2 linked regions of the Canis lupus familiaris genome follow. The protein of the gene in region 2 interacts with the protein of the main gene of each other region in a biochemical or structural test. Links are inferred from orthologs where the notes say so. Each region holds a gene or a part of one and is shown on either strand. Other genes may lie near its edges. The genes, in order: BRAF and IQGAP1.

Region 1 (8,107 bases), on a different chromosome or scaffold from region 2:
TTTCGTCATTAAATAATCCATCTAATTAATATGCAATCAATTCTCTTATTAAGGGGCAAAGAAATAAAACTGATTAATAAGAAAAAAAAATGCTCAGTAAGCCCTGAAAGAGGCAGTATTACCTGAGATTCCACATGTATTATGAAGATTTTATAATTTTATCAGCCATCCTCTTTCTGTACAAAATACTGCCATTGCTATTTGAATCCTTCCCAGGATTAGCTCTATCAAGAATCAATTCCAATTTCCATTCCTGATTCAGTAAAGAAATAAAAGACCTGCAGTCCTAAAATGTTTGGAAGTAGCATAACCACTACGCTAATAATTGCCTTAGAGTTTAAGTTTTCCCATTAGTACAATGATTCTCGCCTCAGGGCACCTTAGACAATACTGGTAAAACATCGACACTGACAAACTCAAACCCCTTTCCTGCCTCCAAAAGCATTATCAATATGCCATGGGTGCTTTATTAACAGAACCAAGAGATAGGAGGTCAATTTAGAAGATGGCATAAAGAATGCTGGCTGTTTGCTTCCTGGGCAAAGATACAGACCAAATCATATTTGCTACATTTTTTACACATTTTACTCATTGTACTCTACCACTTAATTTCTTAATTGGCTGTGTTCATGAAATACAATAAATGGTTGGTTAAATATACGCTTAAAAGAGTTCTTTCCCTTGCATCTTCTGTACTGTTTCATTTGGAAGAATTGTTTCTAAAGACACTGCAGAGTGTAAATAAAAGTTCCATGAAAGCATTATTTTGATACCAAAACCTGAACTAACTGCATAAATGGCTGGAGGACCTGGGACAGGATTCCTGGTCACTGGTCTATCTCAAAAAGCAGGCAATGGCACTAAGCCTTACTTGCAAATCACAATCAACTGTGTAGACTTTTTAACCTCTCAATGTCCAGACTACATACCAGGCCAATAATATAACAACAGAATCTGGGGATGGGATCCAAACATTGCTGGTTTTTACAGCTCCCCAGATGATTTTAATGTCCAATTAAGGTTGAGAACCACTGACAGAAGACGTATGGGAGATCCTGATGAAGGATGGGAGGTGAAGGAGAAGATGGGGTCTGCTTACTTTTTTTGTCAAACATTTTATTGCTAGCTGCTTTTAGTAATACAGTACAAAATAAACCACATACAACTGTGATGTGATGAACAAGCTAGAATACTGAGAGGCTGGTTATGATATAGGCATAATTTTAAAAGCCAGAATACAATTTTGCGAGGGACAGAATAATAAATCAGTTGAGGAACTAACCATCTTTTTAAAACTTAGTTTTACCTCTACTGTTGTTGGAGATGGCTTGATGAAATTTATTTGGACAAGAAATGCATGATTGATCCTCAACTAATTTAGTGATTTAATCTGTAAAAATTTTCACAAAGGTTTCTTTCCCCTCTAAGATAAATAGAACAAGGTTGAGAAGAATTCAGAGAATTACATAATCTTAGTTCTGACCAAACTCTTCTCTACTAGTACACAGATGCTCCGCATTTGTTTCTGAAGGCAATTATCAACCCAAAAGGATTTTTTCAACACGTAAGTGTACTACTAGCTAATCTCTTATATGAAAGCTCAGCTTGATAGAATAAAGGATGAACCAATCTACCTATGTATCAACAAAAAATAAATTAGAATATAAAACTTTGGGTATAATAATCTAGGTTTTAGAAAAAGGACAAACCTGGAGTTTAACTGAGCATCTCCCCCACACTAGTTAAAATAGATACACCTTTAAAACATGTATTGTTTCTTTTTAATTTGAGGTTTTACAGTCTCACACTTAGTGTGTGCTAGCCTGCTGCATCCTAGAATCCACTGCTATCTTATAGCAAGGTGTGTGCCTTAAAGGTGCATGAGATCCCAATTACAATGACTAATAAGCCTCCTATTTATAAAATGATTTATTAAAACAATTAAAATATATTAAAGAAACAAACCTAGTTAGCTCTAATTACTGAATCTTAGGAACAAAAAAGGTGTTAGAAATCCACTAGTCCGACCAACATTAAAGATGGAGAGACATGGAGGTTAGGAAATGTGCAGGTTGAGAGTTAAACAGAGGACTATAGAGTACAGATCTCCTAGGTCCATTGTACCCCTTCCACCTTACCACTTGTCTTTACTCCAGTTATTTTTATAAGAAAGCATAGCTGAATTTAACCCTAAGTTTATTTGACTAATTCACATCTATCCTGGAATTCCCCTCTTGGAGGCTCTTACAGATAGTTCAGGGAATTTATGCAAACATGGCTTCAAGAGCCCCTGCAGCTTCTCTGTTTCCAGCAGAGTGTCCCAAAGCCTTAGTGCAGATTCAATTATTTAAAGCTTCAAATTGCACTACTGGTTAGGGACATCCGGCATTCAGCTGAGAGCAGCGGTTCTCAAACTTTTTGATCTCAAAACTCTTTTAGTCTTGAAAATTACTGAAGACCCCAAGGAACTTTTATGTGGATTATATCTATGGGTATTTCTCATATTTAAACATAACTGGGAAACTGTTAAAATATTTAGTAATTTCATAAGTAATAGCCATTAGATGTTAACAAAGATTACCCATTTTTAATGAAAAGTGTATTTTCAAATCCAAAAAAAAGTTCAGTGAGAAGAGTACTGCAATTCTTTTTGACTGGTTTAAGAGCAGCCAGCTATAGTCACATATTTTGGTTCTGGCATTCGATCTGTTGTGATGTGTTGTTCTGGTTCAAGACTATAAAGAAACATCTGGTCTCATACAGGGATGACCTTGGGGACTTCCAAAAGGGTATTAGGGCCCCTTTTGAGAACTGCTAGCTTAGAGGATGATTCCTATACCTGCCCTTTTCACAGCCTGCTGAAAGTAATGGCACAGAAGTTTTCATTCCCTTCTTTTACACAAAGCAGAAATAGGAATAAAGAAAAAGCAACAAAGAGCTATGCAGGGCAGCACATGGCTATGTTAAAATTCTTTTTTTTTTTTTTATGTCTTTTCTTTCCCAGCTGCCCCATAATTATGGGTTCTTTCTAGTCTAAAGGAAGTAACTTTCCAATTTAGGCTTAAATAACATCATGAAACAGCCTCTCTTAAAAGGAGTAGTTCTTTTAGTAAAACCTTAAGAAATACTGCAGATCGTACCTGCTGAAACTGCACACTTGTTTTTTTCTTTTTGAAACCGGGCACACAGAACATTTTGAACACAAAATATTTTAAAGAGACAATTCTGGATAAAATTTCAACAGTTGTTTATAAAATACTATTTTTTTGTTTGAAGTATACTGAAACTGATTTCATAATACTCTTTTTAAGGATAAAGAAAAAAGTTAAATTTTATTTACATAAAAAATAAGATCAACATTGACTTTTGTGAATACTGGGAATTATGAAAATACTAGTCGAAACCTTCAAAGATTTTCTAGTCACTCAGTAGCACCTCAGGGTCCAAAAATTTAATTAATGGAGAAATGGCCTCAATTCTTACCATCCACAAAATGGATCCAGACAACTGTTCAAACTGATGGGACCCACTCCATCGAGATTTCACTGTGGCTAGACCAAAATCACCTATTTTTACTGTGAGGTCTTCATGAAGAAAAATATCTGAGGTGTAGTAAGTAAAGGAAAACAATAGATCTCATTTTCCTAGCAAAGCAAGCATTACAAAAATGTTAGGTAAGAGATCTAATTTCTGTAATTCTATAATATGATTTTTTTGGTAAAATTGATATTTCTTTAAAAAGTATAGTACTTCATATTTCCTCTTAAAGTTAATGAATATGTTTTTAAAAATATGGTTCTATTTGGCATATGTGACCTGCTTCTAAGATTTTGGGGGCTTGAAATATGATGGGATGAGGTGAGATGCTTTCCAACCTATGTTTATGGGAAACCCTGAAATGTTCCCGTTAGATTTTAGTAACATGGACCCAGATATGCTTTAGCATTTAGGAAAGCTACAAAGGTTCTTCATTGGAATGAAGTTGGTTGACGGCTAGGATCTTGATCTGGGTTTATGGAAGAAGAAAAATTTTGTTTTTTCTCACCTCCTTGTTATGCAAGTTAGAACCTTCAGTTACATTTCAACTACTGCAGAGTAGCATCAGAGCACTGAAAGAAATGGGTAGATAGCTACCTGTTTTATGGGTGTTGACAGAATGTAAGCACACAATCATAAAAGAGTCCTACTATTATAAAGACTTGGTGGATTTTTTTTTTATAACACTCAAATGTTCAGAAACCAAAAGCATGTTGCAGCACCCTGCTTTATACTATGCTCTCATGCAAACCCATTTATTAATTCTCTTTACATTTTTTGAACTTAGCATGAAAACTGTTTTTACATAATGTGAAGACAAAATGCAGAAGAAAAAGTCAGGATGTTTTCAAACTTCGCAGACAAATTTCAGGAAGGATACTATTACTCTTGAGGTCTCTGTGGATGATTGACTTGGCGTGTAAGTAACTGAAAAACAAAACATCATTTCAACCTGAGTAGGGGTAAAGACTCTGGCCTCAAAATCTATAGAACATATTTAGGGATGTAAATAAAGACTTATTCAAAATCATGACACAATTGCAAACTGTACATTGTGATAACCTCTTTATGTAAGAAATCTTAAACTGTAAATGAATTTAGGATTATAGAAACATATTACTATTATGGTAGAGCCCAAATCTTGTATTCTATTAAAAGACTTTGCTTTATACTTTACTATTTACCAATACAAACCTTTCATTCCAGTCAAACCTATTTATCCATGTCCTTTAAATACACCCTGATATTTAATCCCACCTGTGATCAATACTTCCCTTCCAAACCCATCCCCAAATTAACTTTCATTCTATTCTCCACCTATTCATACCTATCCTTTAAGATTGAATATACATTCTATCTTCTGAATAAAGCTTTGCTATGACTAACTCAACCAAAAGTAATCTTTCACTGTTGAGTTATATCGTAATTACTGTAATAGCTTGATTCATGTATTCTTTTTCCTGTGCCTATGGTTCCCTTTTCAGAATGTAAACTCCACTAGAATATAAAATCTGATTGATAATTTTAAAAATTTTTTAAAAGATTTTTATTTATTTATTCATGAGAGACAGAGAGAGAGAGGCAGAGTCACAAGCCGAGGGAGAAGCAGGCTCCATGCAGGGAGCCCGACATGGGACTCGATCCCAGGCCCCCAGGATCAGGCCCCGGGTTGAAGGCGGCGCTAAACCGCTGAGCCATCCGGGCTGCCCCTGATTGTTAATTTTAAAGGTAGTATTATACATTCTTAAAATAACTTCTTAAAAATACGGAGCTTTATCACACATGTTAATCATTTAGTCTTAAAATTAGTTAATAATGGCCACAGTGAATAACTCCATTGTTGATTAGTTTAAAATAGCATATAAGAGAAAATAATGCAGAATAAAATAAAATTTCTAAACAAAAATAGTGAGGAGCAAACCTGCTACATAATATCCACAGTGCATCTATCTTATAGTCAATGGTAAGTTTAAATTACCTATGTGAGCCCTAAAAACTGGTTTAGTTGGGTTCACTGAGGGTAAGGGCTGTGCCTCCTTTATTTCTGTTTCAATCTCCAGTGCCTAGCACAGAGCCTGGCATGTGGTAAGTGTTCAACATGTCTGTTGAATCAACTACAACGAAATGCATATAATATCCTAGTCAAAGCTATTTTTCTTCATTTAAAACTGGAAAGAATAGATATATGAGACTTCTAAAATTTGACAATGACCATTAATTAGGAAGTAAATTTTGCTTTAAAGTGACACTTTCAAAGTCCAAATAGTATATAATCAAAATTATGTAATAAACACTGTTAAAAATTGAAGATTCATAACAATTAAACTTTATTTATGCTTTCTCTTCTTCATTTATACTTCCTCATTCTCCCAGAGATCAAGATTTTGAAGCTTTCTTCTCAGATAAAATTTTCATTTCAAATGATTTATACAAAGGAACCCCTTCTCCTCCAATTACTCTTACTTCTATGTTTATTTCCTCCATAGTATTTACCACACTCTTGTCCCACTACATCACATGGTCTCTCTTACATTGGAAGAAAATGTGATGTCTGTTATAGGTGTCATTTGCTTAAAAATTTTTCTGCAATGACACAGAATGATACAGATGGAGAACAGGAGCCTCAACCACAAGCTTTTTCAAGATAGGGAGACCTTGTCTCCACTAGAGAGGAAGGGTAACAAATGGTGATGCTGTTCAGTGGTGGAGCTTGGTGCTTTGGTCTGAGACCTGGTACTTAGTGCACATAATAGGTGTTAGTCTTTGACAAAAGATTCTGTCTCCTTTGAAATTAAAAACAACAAATAGGTGGTAGATATGAATATGTGGAGGCATGATGAAGTTATAAGGGAAGATAAAGGTGTTCTTGATGGTATCAATCTTTTCAACAAATCTGATACAAAGAAATATATCAAGAATAAGGTAGACAGAAATCAACTAGAGGGTGAGGAGAAAAAATTTCTCACCAGGAAAGTACTAGATAATTAGCAAGATATGAGTACAATTACTGAGCTAGTGATAGAACCCTACTGGAAGGTAGATAGCATAAATTTATTATAGGCTAAAGTTGTATACAGCTGCAACTTGAAATAGCACCACCTTATCCTTGTGTAATCTTATCTTTTATTGTTTACAAGCTGCTTTCTTAACTTCTATCTCATGTAATAATTCTCTTTCTGTAACATCTCTGCCACAAAACCAGTGAAAAGGCAGAAATCCAGGTCTATATAATGGATGGTTTGAAAAAAAAAAAAAAAGGTACTCAAATTCCCCAGATGGAAAAATGGAATGAGTATTATACCCCATATCTCTACATGATATAATGTTCCAGAGTAATTACTACTCTATATAATTCTACATAGGCTGACACTAAAACATAATTTCTAAGCAACAATGAGTTATAATCAAAGATGCCAAAAGACACATAACTGAGGGTATGGAAGGAAGGGAACAATAAGAAATTAACTCATATGATACAGAAGTATACCCATTATTTAAGGAAATTAAATAGGACCCCTTTCTTAACTTTTCTAAGATGTTAAAGAGAACCTTATAGATTTATAAAAGTAGCAGTAAGAAAAAACATGCTATAGGGATGCCTGGGTGGCTCAGCGGTTTGGCACCTGCCTTGGTCCCAAGGCATGACCCCAGAGTCCCGGGATCAAGTCACACGTCGGGCTCTCTGCATGGAGCCTGCTTCTCCCTCTGCCTATGTCTCTGTCTGTCTTTCCTGAATAAATAAATAAAATCTAAAAAAAAAAAAGAGAGAGAAAACATGCTATAAACCAAATGAATATATCCTCTCGATAGGTTTATCTTAGGAGTGTCTTTCCTTGAAAAACAAAAAAAAAAAAGTATCCACCTAGAGAATCATTTAATCTGAAAGCTGGGCAATCATCTAGTAAAATCTGTTCTCTCTGCTTCTTTCAAGGTATTATCCAATATTTAGCTTTCTTTTTTTTTAATATTTTATTTATTCACTTGACAAGGGAGATGGTGTGCGCACAAGCAAATGGAGTGGCAGGCAGAGGGTGCCTCACATGGAGGTTGATCCCAGGACCCTGGGATCATGACCTGAGTGGAAAGCAGAACCGCTTAATCCTCTGAACCAACTAGATGCCCCCAAGATTCAGCTTTTTAACATTCTTTTAAGAGCTTAATATGATGTCCCAAGAGTGAAGATAATACTCTAGATCTGATCTGATCAACATAAACTAGAGTAACTCTCATCTTAATTTTCTCCTTGAACACCTGAAACCATAAAACTCCTAGAAAAAAAAAAAACAGGGGTAGCAAGATCTTTTTTTTTTTTTTAAGATTTTATTTATTCATGAGAGACAGACAGAGAGAGAGAGAGAGAGAGAGAGACAGAGACAGAGACAGAGAGAGACAGAGAGAGGCAGTGACATAGGCAGGGGGAAAAGCAGGCTCCCTGTGGGAAGCCTGATGCGGGACTCAAGACCAAGACCCCAAGACCCTGAAGCCAAAGGCACTGAACACCCCAGGTGTCCAGGTAGCAAGCTCTTTGACACTGGTCTTGGTAATGATTTTTTTTTTTTTTTGATACCAA
Region 2 (8,107 bases):
TTTGGCTCAGGTCATCTCAGGATTATGAGATCGAGCCCCTAGTGGGGCTCCATGCTGGGTGTTAAACCAGCTTAAAATTCTCTCTCTCCCTCTGCCCCTCACCCCTCCTCCCTCTCTTAAAAAAAAAGAGATTTGTCTGTAATAATAACAACAGAAAACCACAAAACAACCCCAAATGTGTACTGTGACATCTCATATCCCTCCAAGGCTGTGAATTCAAAGGTGCCTAGAAAACATCCCTACCTCTATCTTAGTTTTAGGAGGGATGAAGTTCTTTGCACAGAAAGGAACAATTTCACTGCCACTCACCTGGGCTTTCTCTCTCTTTGCTCTGATCAGTGTGTCTTGGTAATGCTGGGCCACTTCTGTAAGGACTCCCTCAAGTTTGGCTGCAGGAATCTGCAGAGCCTGTAGAGTCTTTTGGGCATCACCTTCATCCAGGGCTTCATTAATTAAACCAATGGCTAAAATCCCTAAATATGAAGGGACAAAAGGTTACTTTTTAAATTAGGAAATTATATAAATAAATCTTTAAACATGCTAAGGAATCATAAATCCACCCAAGCATTACCATGATTCAAATTATAATTTGCCACCTATAATATTAAGCAGCGTTTAAATTTTTTTTTAACTTTAGTGTTTGTTTCATTTAAAATAAACACCCTAGTATACATATTTCCATTGAAACCTCAAGTATTTGGTTTTATTTTTAATTGTCCTAATGGAAAAATAAAGAGAATTTTGATGAAACTGGTTTTAATAGTATAGCTTTCAAGTACATCACAATGTGTAATCAAAACCACTTTTTAGGGATCCCTGGGTGGCGCAGCAGTTTGGCGCCTGCCTTTGGCCCAGGGCGCGATCCTAGAGACCCGGGATCGAATCCCACATCGGGCTCCCGGTGCATGGAGCCTGCTTCTCCCTCTGCCTGTGTCTCTGCCTCTCTCTCTCTCTCTCTGTGATTATCATAAATAAATAAAATCTTTAAACAAAAAAAAACTCTTTTTATTCACAAAAAAGAGTTTAAGGGATCATAAAAAGTCACCTGATTAAACTTTTTTTTTTAATTTTTTTTTTTTTAATTTAATTTATGATAGTCACAGAGAGAGAGAGAGGCAGAGACACAGGCAGAGGGAGAAGCAGGCTCCATGCACCGGGAGCCCGATGTGGGATTCGATCCCGGGTCTCCAGGATCGCGCCCTGGGCCAAAGGCAGGCGCCAAACCGCTGCGCCACCCAGGGATCCCTGATTAAACATTTTTATATAAGAAAAGATTAGGCTTAGAAATTTCTTCTTCGAGATCCCACTTCAAACAACTGGACAACAGCAGATCCAACCCCAGGGCTCCCCACCCTGAGGCAAGGCTCTTCTTGCTAAATCAATGGATATTTCTCACAGGAAATACAAACTAAAACTAGAAATGTCACTCCCCAAGTATCCCAGGCAGCTGTGCTATTTTTGTAAAGACTGTGGTATAATAAAGATGTGGCTAACTTTTGACCCCAGTTCTTGGGAAGGAGCCTCTAACCCCCATTAGAATTTCCTAAATAATTTGATTATCTGTTTATTATCCGATTATTCAGGCATGGCTTCTAGGACCACACCTGAATATATGCCACCCAGATGGGCCCCTGGGTAGTCTCAGGATGGGGTCTGATCATGCTGGAAAGACCAAGCATATGATCAGAATTCTGGGGGTTTGAGCAACATGATATTGTGATATCAGCCAACCCTACCTATCTCCAGGGAGAAGAGGTAGATAGGAAACGGAGTTCAATTACATGGCCAACAATCAATTCCTCACAGGTAATGAAGCCTCTTTAAAATCTCTGGTGACCCAAATCTCAGGAGAGCTGGTTGGGGTACACATCCTGAGGACACATAAGCTTGGTCTTTGGGACCTCACTATATTTGGGATCACCCTCTAGGTCTTCTCTTTTGGCCAGTCCTGATTTGTATCCTTTCTAATAAAACTATATTCTTCATAAATATAGCATTTCCTGAGTTCTTTAAGTCACTCTAGCAAATTATTGAATCTGAGGGGAGTGTTGAAGGAAATTCTGAATTTATAGCCAATTGTTCAGAAGTGTAGTGACCTGGGAACTCCTTAAAGCTTGTGGTTAGTGTCTCCAATGAGAGGAGTCTTATGGGAGGAGTCTTATGGAAGACTGAGCACTATACCCATGCAAGATGACCTAAATCCAGGTGGTGTTATAACTACTTGTTATAAAACATTTAAAAATAACAGATCGTGTTCAAGTTATCTCCTGAAAATGTTAGTCCTTATTACATACATATCTAATTGTAGCAGTTGCCTGATGTTTCAAAAACAATATCCAACCTCAGCTTTTTGTGACACACACACACACACACAAATTTTCAAGAATCTTTCTGGGAGTAATGTTTAGAGCCAGTTTATGGAATCACAGTACCTTTAACAGTTTCACTATCTGAGGGGATGGTTAAGTAGATTACTCACTCTCATGTTCCTCCTGCACCACCAGATTTACATGGTCCACACAAGCTTGGATGTCATTCCATGTAATAAATTCATTATTTTCTGCATGTGCCTGAGTTTTCAGTTTCATCAGTTCATCAAGATACCTACCCCATTCCCCCAACAAAGAAGATAATGAAATACAATAAAATCTTTAAAAAAAAAATCATTAAGCAAATCTTACTGAAAAGTATTGATTTTTTTTTTTTTGTCTTTTTCTTTTTTGTTGTTTTCAAACAGCATTAAGTATTTTATTATTACCTCCAATTTTTCTGGAATATAAATGCAATTGAAATTCAGTCATTCATTCATGCAAAGTATTGATTTAGACAAGGATTATCAACTTGGGTTAAAAATATTAGGTATGGGGATCCCTGGGTGGCGCAGCGGTTTAGCGCCTGCCTTTGGCCCAGGGCATGATCCTGGAGACCCGGGATCGAATCCCACGTCGGGCTCCCAGTACATGGAGCCTGCTTCTCCCTCTGCCTATGTCTCTGCCTCTCTCTCTCTCTCTCTCTCTCTCTCTGTGTGACTATCATAAATAAAAAAAAATTTTTTTTTTTTAGATATTATGTATGGGTAATGGGGAACTGGACACTTTGATGGTACAAAGGTGCAAAAAAAGTTTATGCTAAGGGAAAAACATAAATACACATAAGAGGGATAAGCTTTCTCCCGGATTCAAGAATCAATCTTAGTATCTTTAATGGTGACACAAGTCAATTTCATATGCCTCTAGTTATGAGAAAATATGAAATACACAACACCAAAAATGCTGACTTGATCTTGACAAGCCTTTACACCTAATTTCTAATTTACAAAAATAAGCCAAATCTCAGGAAGCAACCAGAACCAGAAGATGGAACATTTTAGAACAACTGGTCCTATCTCTTTAACAAGTCAATATCATGAAGAAAGGAACAATGCTAGATTAAGAGATACCTAAAGGGTACAATAGCCAGGTGTAACACATAGTCCTGCACTGGACCCTGGTTTGAAGAAATCAGGTGAAAAGGACAGTTTCGAAACTAGTGAAGAAGTATGAAAATGGACTAGGGTCTGCACATATTAAAGAAGAACTATTGATTTTGCCAGGGTTTGTACTATGAGATTGTACTATTTTGGCTACCTAATAAATATCCTCACTGTTTTAGATAAGCATACTTACATATTGAGGGGTGGAATGTCATGATATATGTAATTTATTATAAATCCTCCAGCATAATAAAGAATAAAATGAATCAGAATAGGGGGGAAAAAAGCATCATACTAAAGTCACAATGCCTGAAAACAGGAGTGTGGACACCCAACAGAGTAAAAGCTGTCCAATGGATTCCATCTACCACTCTGGGGACCCACCTCTGACAGTTTTCTTCTTCGATATTGGTAAGGCCTGTCACAGAACTGCTCAACTGTTTCCACACTGTGTTCATGTCCCCTGACTCCAGTGCCCTGTTGATTAGGGCCACAGATGACAACATCTCCACGGCAACAGATAGCTCAGGATGGGTGAGGCTATGCTGCACAGAAAGGAGAGGAAAAAAAAGATGAGGACATTCCGGGATACCAAGTGAGGTCAGGACTTCAGTTAAGCCATAAGAAGTCTAAGTTTCTGTTTTTTTGTTTGTTTGTTTTTTTAAAAAAGGCTCTGCCAAGCACACCAAGAAGTAGGTGTTGAGTTCACTTCTGCCCCATTTTGGTCACAAACAGGAGAGGTTCAGCTGACTTACTTCAGGACTCTGTTGCTGCAGGGTAGCCAGCTCTTTCTGATAAAGATCAGCAGCAAAGGGATACACCTGGGGCAGCTGGGCCTCAGGATTCATGAGCTCCAGAACAGTCTTCTCAGCAACACCCTTCTGGATAGCAGCATTGATTGCCGCCACAGCTGCCAACCCTGCACAGAACACAGGTCAGAAATGCAGCTGGCTTGGGAAGCCCTGAGAGGAAAGAGATTCAGTTTTCACAGAAGAAAGTTCTATTCTGCAGATAAACTATAAGCCATGATGTTTGAAGTGGAACTTTCATCTTTAAAAAAAACAGCCTCCCTCTTTGTATGAAGATGAACTGCAGGCTATGCCAACTATATCCCAATAAAGCTATTTTCCACTCCAATTCATCCTGCGACTCTTTCTAAAGCATCTCTCCCATCCCATGTAGCCTGGCGAATCAAGTACCAGCTTCTTAAGCTGCCACAATCTTTCCAAGGGTTTATCTTACACAGCTCAACCCCGAATATCTACAAATATTGTATTCTAACCGCTGTTGCTTCAAAACATCTTTGACCTTTGGCACCTCTGCTCACACCTCCTTTCCTCCCTGCTCAGGTTAGGAACATCCTTCTCTCTCTGCCACCACCCAGATCTTACCAATCAAGCCCTAAGACTCTGCTCCAATGACCAAGTGCTTGCTAGCCAGAGTAAGCCCACACTGACTCCAGTTCTACTCTAAAACTAGGGTAGGGCACCTCTAGTGGCACCTGCTGGTCGATTGTGGCTAGCAGGCTTGGGGTGGGGGTGAGAAGTGACAGGATCTGACCTCAGATGCCCTAGCGACATTAACCCCACACAGTATCTCAGGGAGAGGACTCTTACTTCTTTGATACTGTTGGGCAGTAATGTTTGCAGCATCCACTCCAGACTGGAGCTCCTCCTTCTGCAGGGGATCAGCCTGACCACCCTGAGAAAAGCAAAGAACATTTATGTAAAGATTCTCATGGCTATGCCTCCAGGCCTTACAGTTGTATCTCAATAGCAGTCACAGGGACAAAGTTCGGCCCTAAGTGGATGTGTCAGGCTGCATCAGAGAAAGTGGTAGTCCTAGTGGGAACCAATGCCCTCACCAAATCTGGGGTAGAGGACTTTCCAGATACTAGCACATAAAAAAAAAAAGTTTGTAAGAAGCATCAAAATACTGACGTAAGGGCAGCCCCGGTGGCGCAGCGGTTTAGCGCCGCCTGCAGCCCGGGGCGTGAGCCTGGAGACCCGGGATCGAGTCCCACGTCGGGCTCCCTGCATGGAGCCTGCTTCTCCCTCTGCCTGTGTCTCTGCCTCTCTCTCTAGCTGTGTGAATAAATATGAATAAATAAAAAAAATATAAAAAAAATAAAAAAATAAAAAAAATAAAAAAATATGAATAAATAAATAAAATCTTAAAAAAAAATACTGACATAAGATGTTTACAGCCTCATTAGCACATTAATACTGTTTGCTTTGGCCATAGATACTGGGAATCTGCAAAATGTGCACTTGATGGGCCTTGTTCAGACAAAAAAGAAAGCCATTTGTGTTTGTTCTACCAGCCCCACTAAGTACAATTACACAGTCTGCTCTTACTGCACATTAGTTAAGTACTTTCCCAGTGCTGGCCAGAGGAAACTAGTGATGTGTGTTTTTATGTAGGAAATTCCTGAAGTAAGAATGTAGGAGAGATTCAGGTTTTCCCCCAGGGCTTTTCATTGGAGGGTTAAAAAGGATGCTTCAAGTGAAGGGGTAGTCAGGTTTGGAGGGCAGGTAGTATTTATGTTTAAGAGGGTTTACAGGGACGTCTGGGTGGCTCAGTGGTTGAGTGTCTGCCTTTGGCTCAGGCGTGATCCCGGGGCCCTGGGATCAGGGCCCTGAGATCGAGTCCCACCTGCATCAGGCTCCCTGCAGGAAGCCTGCTTCTCCCTCTGCTTGTGTCTCTCATGAATAAATAAAATCTTAAAAAAAAAAGGTTTACAGCTATAAAAGCAAACAAAAGCTAAAGACAATCTGTATTTTACCTGAGGATATTATAAAAACCTACATTAAGATGCAGAAAGTTATGCTAAAAACTATAGGTTATACTGTAACTATAGGGAAAAGAGATCCCACAAATATGTTTCAGCAAGAACACAAGATTCAAACAGCTGTATGTGAATGCCTGCCAGCCTGACCCACGATCCTCACCTGTCTCTTGTGCTGTCTGTCACTCAGGAGCTGCTTGAGGTACCAGTCCCCGTTTTGCTGCTGCAGCCCTCGAAGGCCCAGGGCTGGTGACTGCAGTGCCCGGAACAAGGCAGGTGCCACACCCTGCTCCAAAGCCAGGTCCACATTTGCTAATGCAGAAGACGCTGAGGAGGGGGAAAGGCCGCAGCTTATGAAGACGTTTTGTGAACATCACAGCTTACATCACTTTCCTTCCCCTAAACCAACCTCAATTTCAGAAGAGCGAAATATAGCTCAGATGGCCTTTGTTCTGGAATATCCCAGAAGCACAAGATCTTGGAATTGGAAGAGAACCTTAAACTGCTCAAGTTCAGGGGTCCCCAACTGGACTGTTTGTCAGTTAACAGATTCCTGGAGCATGCCTCAGACCTACTGAAAAGCTTTCAGATACAGACACCTTAGCACTATGGGGCTAGCAATATGAGGCACCAGTCAAAACCAACACATGTCTAAATTCCCTCTAAATGCCAAGCTGTTGTCTAGATAAAACTACTGAACAGGAGAAGGTTTCTCCCACAGCAATCTGTGAAAGTTTTCACCCTGGTGTTGACGCCTGGATACATCAATCCCTCTTTCCCTCAGTCTACCCCAGATTAAGGAACTTTCATTCCTTCTTAACAGCATCAGTCTGAATCCCTTCATTATCCAGCTGTCTCCTGAACACACTCTACTAGGACAGTGAGTGCCCAGATAGCGAGGGTGGTCTGAGCGCAGGGATTGGTAGAGGCGATTAATACCCTCAATCCTCTCTACCTCTAGTCACTTGAAGTCACACAAGGTCTTTAACATCTGGCAATGAAAACCTAGATGCTCCTTCATCTGAAAGTAATAAAGACACCTTCTTCACAGTGTTGTTAAGATTAAACAAAATTACGTATGTGAAAGCACTTTTTATGTTGTAAAATAAATAAGGAATTAGGCTGGCAGTCAGAATAAGGTATTTTCTGACTTCAAAAATAATAGCCACTGGGAAGCGATCCTTACCGTATGATTTTGTTTCCCTATTTTTAGAAAACAAGAATTCTCCCTCCATGCTCCATTCAGGGATGAACATCTGATTTTTATCACCAAAGTAGCAAAACAAATCAATAACAACATACCAAAAATCAAAGTATTTGGGGTATAGCAGCACTTAAAATTTTTAAATGTTTTAATGTTTTCATTAGTAAAAAAAAAAAAAATGAATACAAGGTGTTAAAGGAAAAATTTTAAATCTCTATGGATTTGTAGACTCAGTGTAGACTCCTAAGAGACTACTCACTCCTTCCCAACGATTATACCTGCAATTCTGCTAACTCATCACCACACCAAGGTGATGGCTACTCCTCCATGTGATCCTTAGCCAACTAACTATCCATTCCTTCAACAGCATTTACTGAGCACCTGCTTTGTGCTGCAAATACAGCTATGAACAAAACAAATGATCTCTGTCTTGGTGAAGATTTTATAGGAGTGGGGACAGAAAATACAATCAACACAGGTTAACAACCAGGCTTTCTCTAGGTATGTGATGCAGAATCTCAGATTATCTATCTACAAAAGCATCTAGTCAATTATGCTTTTACTTTAAAGCATACTTACTACATAAATATGTAAATATTTAAAAAAACATTTACTAACATTCACACTATAAAGATGATAAAGG

The links.
Region 1: the proteins of IQGAP1 (region 2) and BRAF form a complex in vitro, tested with the Homo sapiens proteins (2 studies listed by BioGRID and IntAct). The link is inferred for Canis lupus familiaris from reciprocal best matches to the Homo sapiens genes IQGAP1 and BRAF.

What each region holds. Positions count from the first base shown.
Region 1 is NC_049237.1:8,076,605-8,084,711, reverse strand, and holds part of BRAF (serine/threonine-protein kinase B-raf), read right to left. Parts: intron 4,465-8,107; coding exon 4,418-4,464; intron 3,603-4,417; coding exon 3,484-3,602; intron 254-3,483; coding exon of another isoform or gene 140-253; exon of another isoform or gene 123-139; intron 1-122. UniProt on the Homo sapiens protein: Protein kinase involved in the transduction of mitogenic signals from the cell membrane to the nucleus. Phosphorylates MAP2K1, and thereby activates the MAP kinase signal transduction pathway. Phosphorylates PFKFB2.
Region 2 is NC_049224.1:54,212,716-54,220,822, forward strand, and holds part of IQGAP1 (ras GTPase-activating-like protein IQGAP1), read right to left. Parts: intron 6,588-8,107; coding exon 6,424-6,587; intron 5,174-6,423; coding exon 5,089-5,173; intron 4,392-5,088; coding exon 4,228-4,391; intron 4,018-4,227; coding exon 3,857-4,017; intron 2,605-3,856; coding exon 2,480-2,604; intron 474-2,479; coding exon 310-473; intron 1-309. UniProt on the Homo sapiens protein: Plays a crucial role in regulating the dynamics and assembly of the actin cytoskeleton.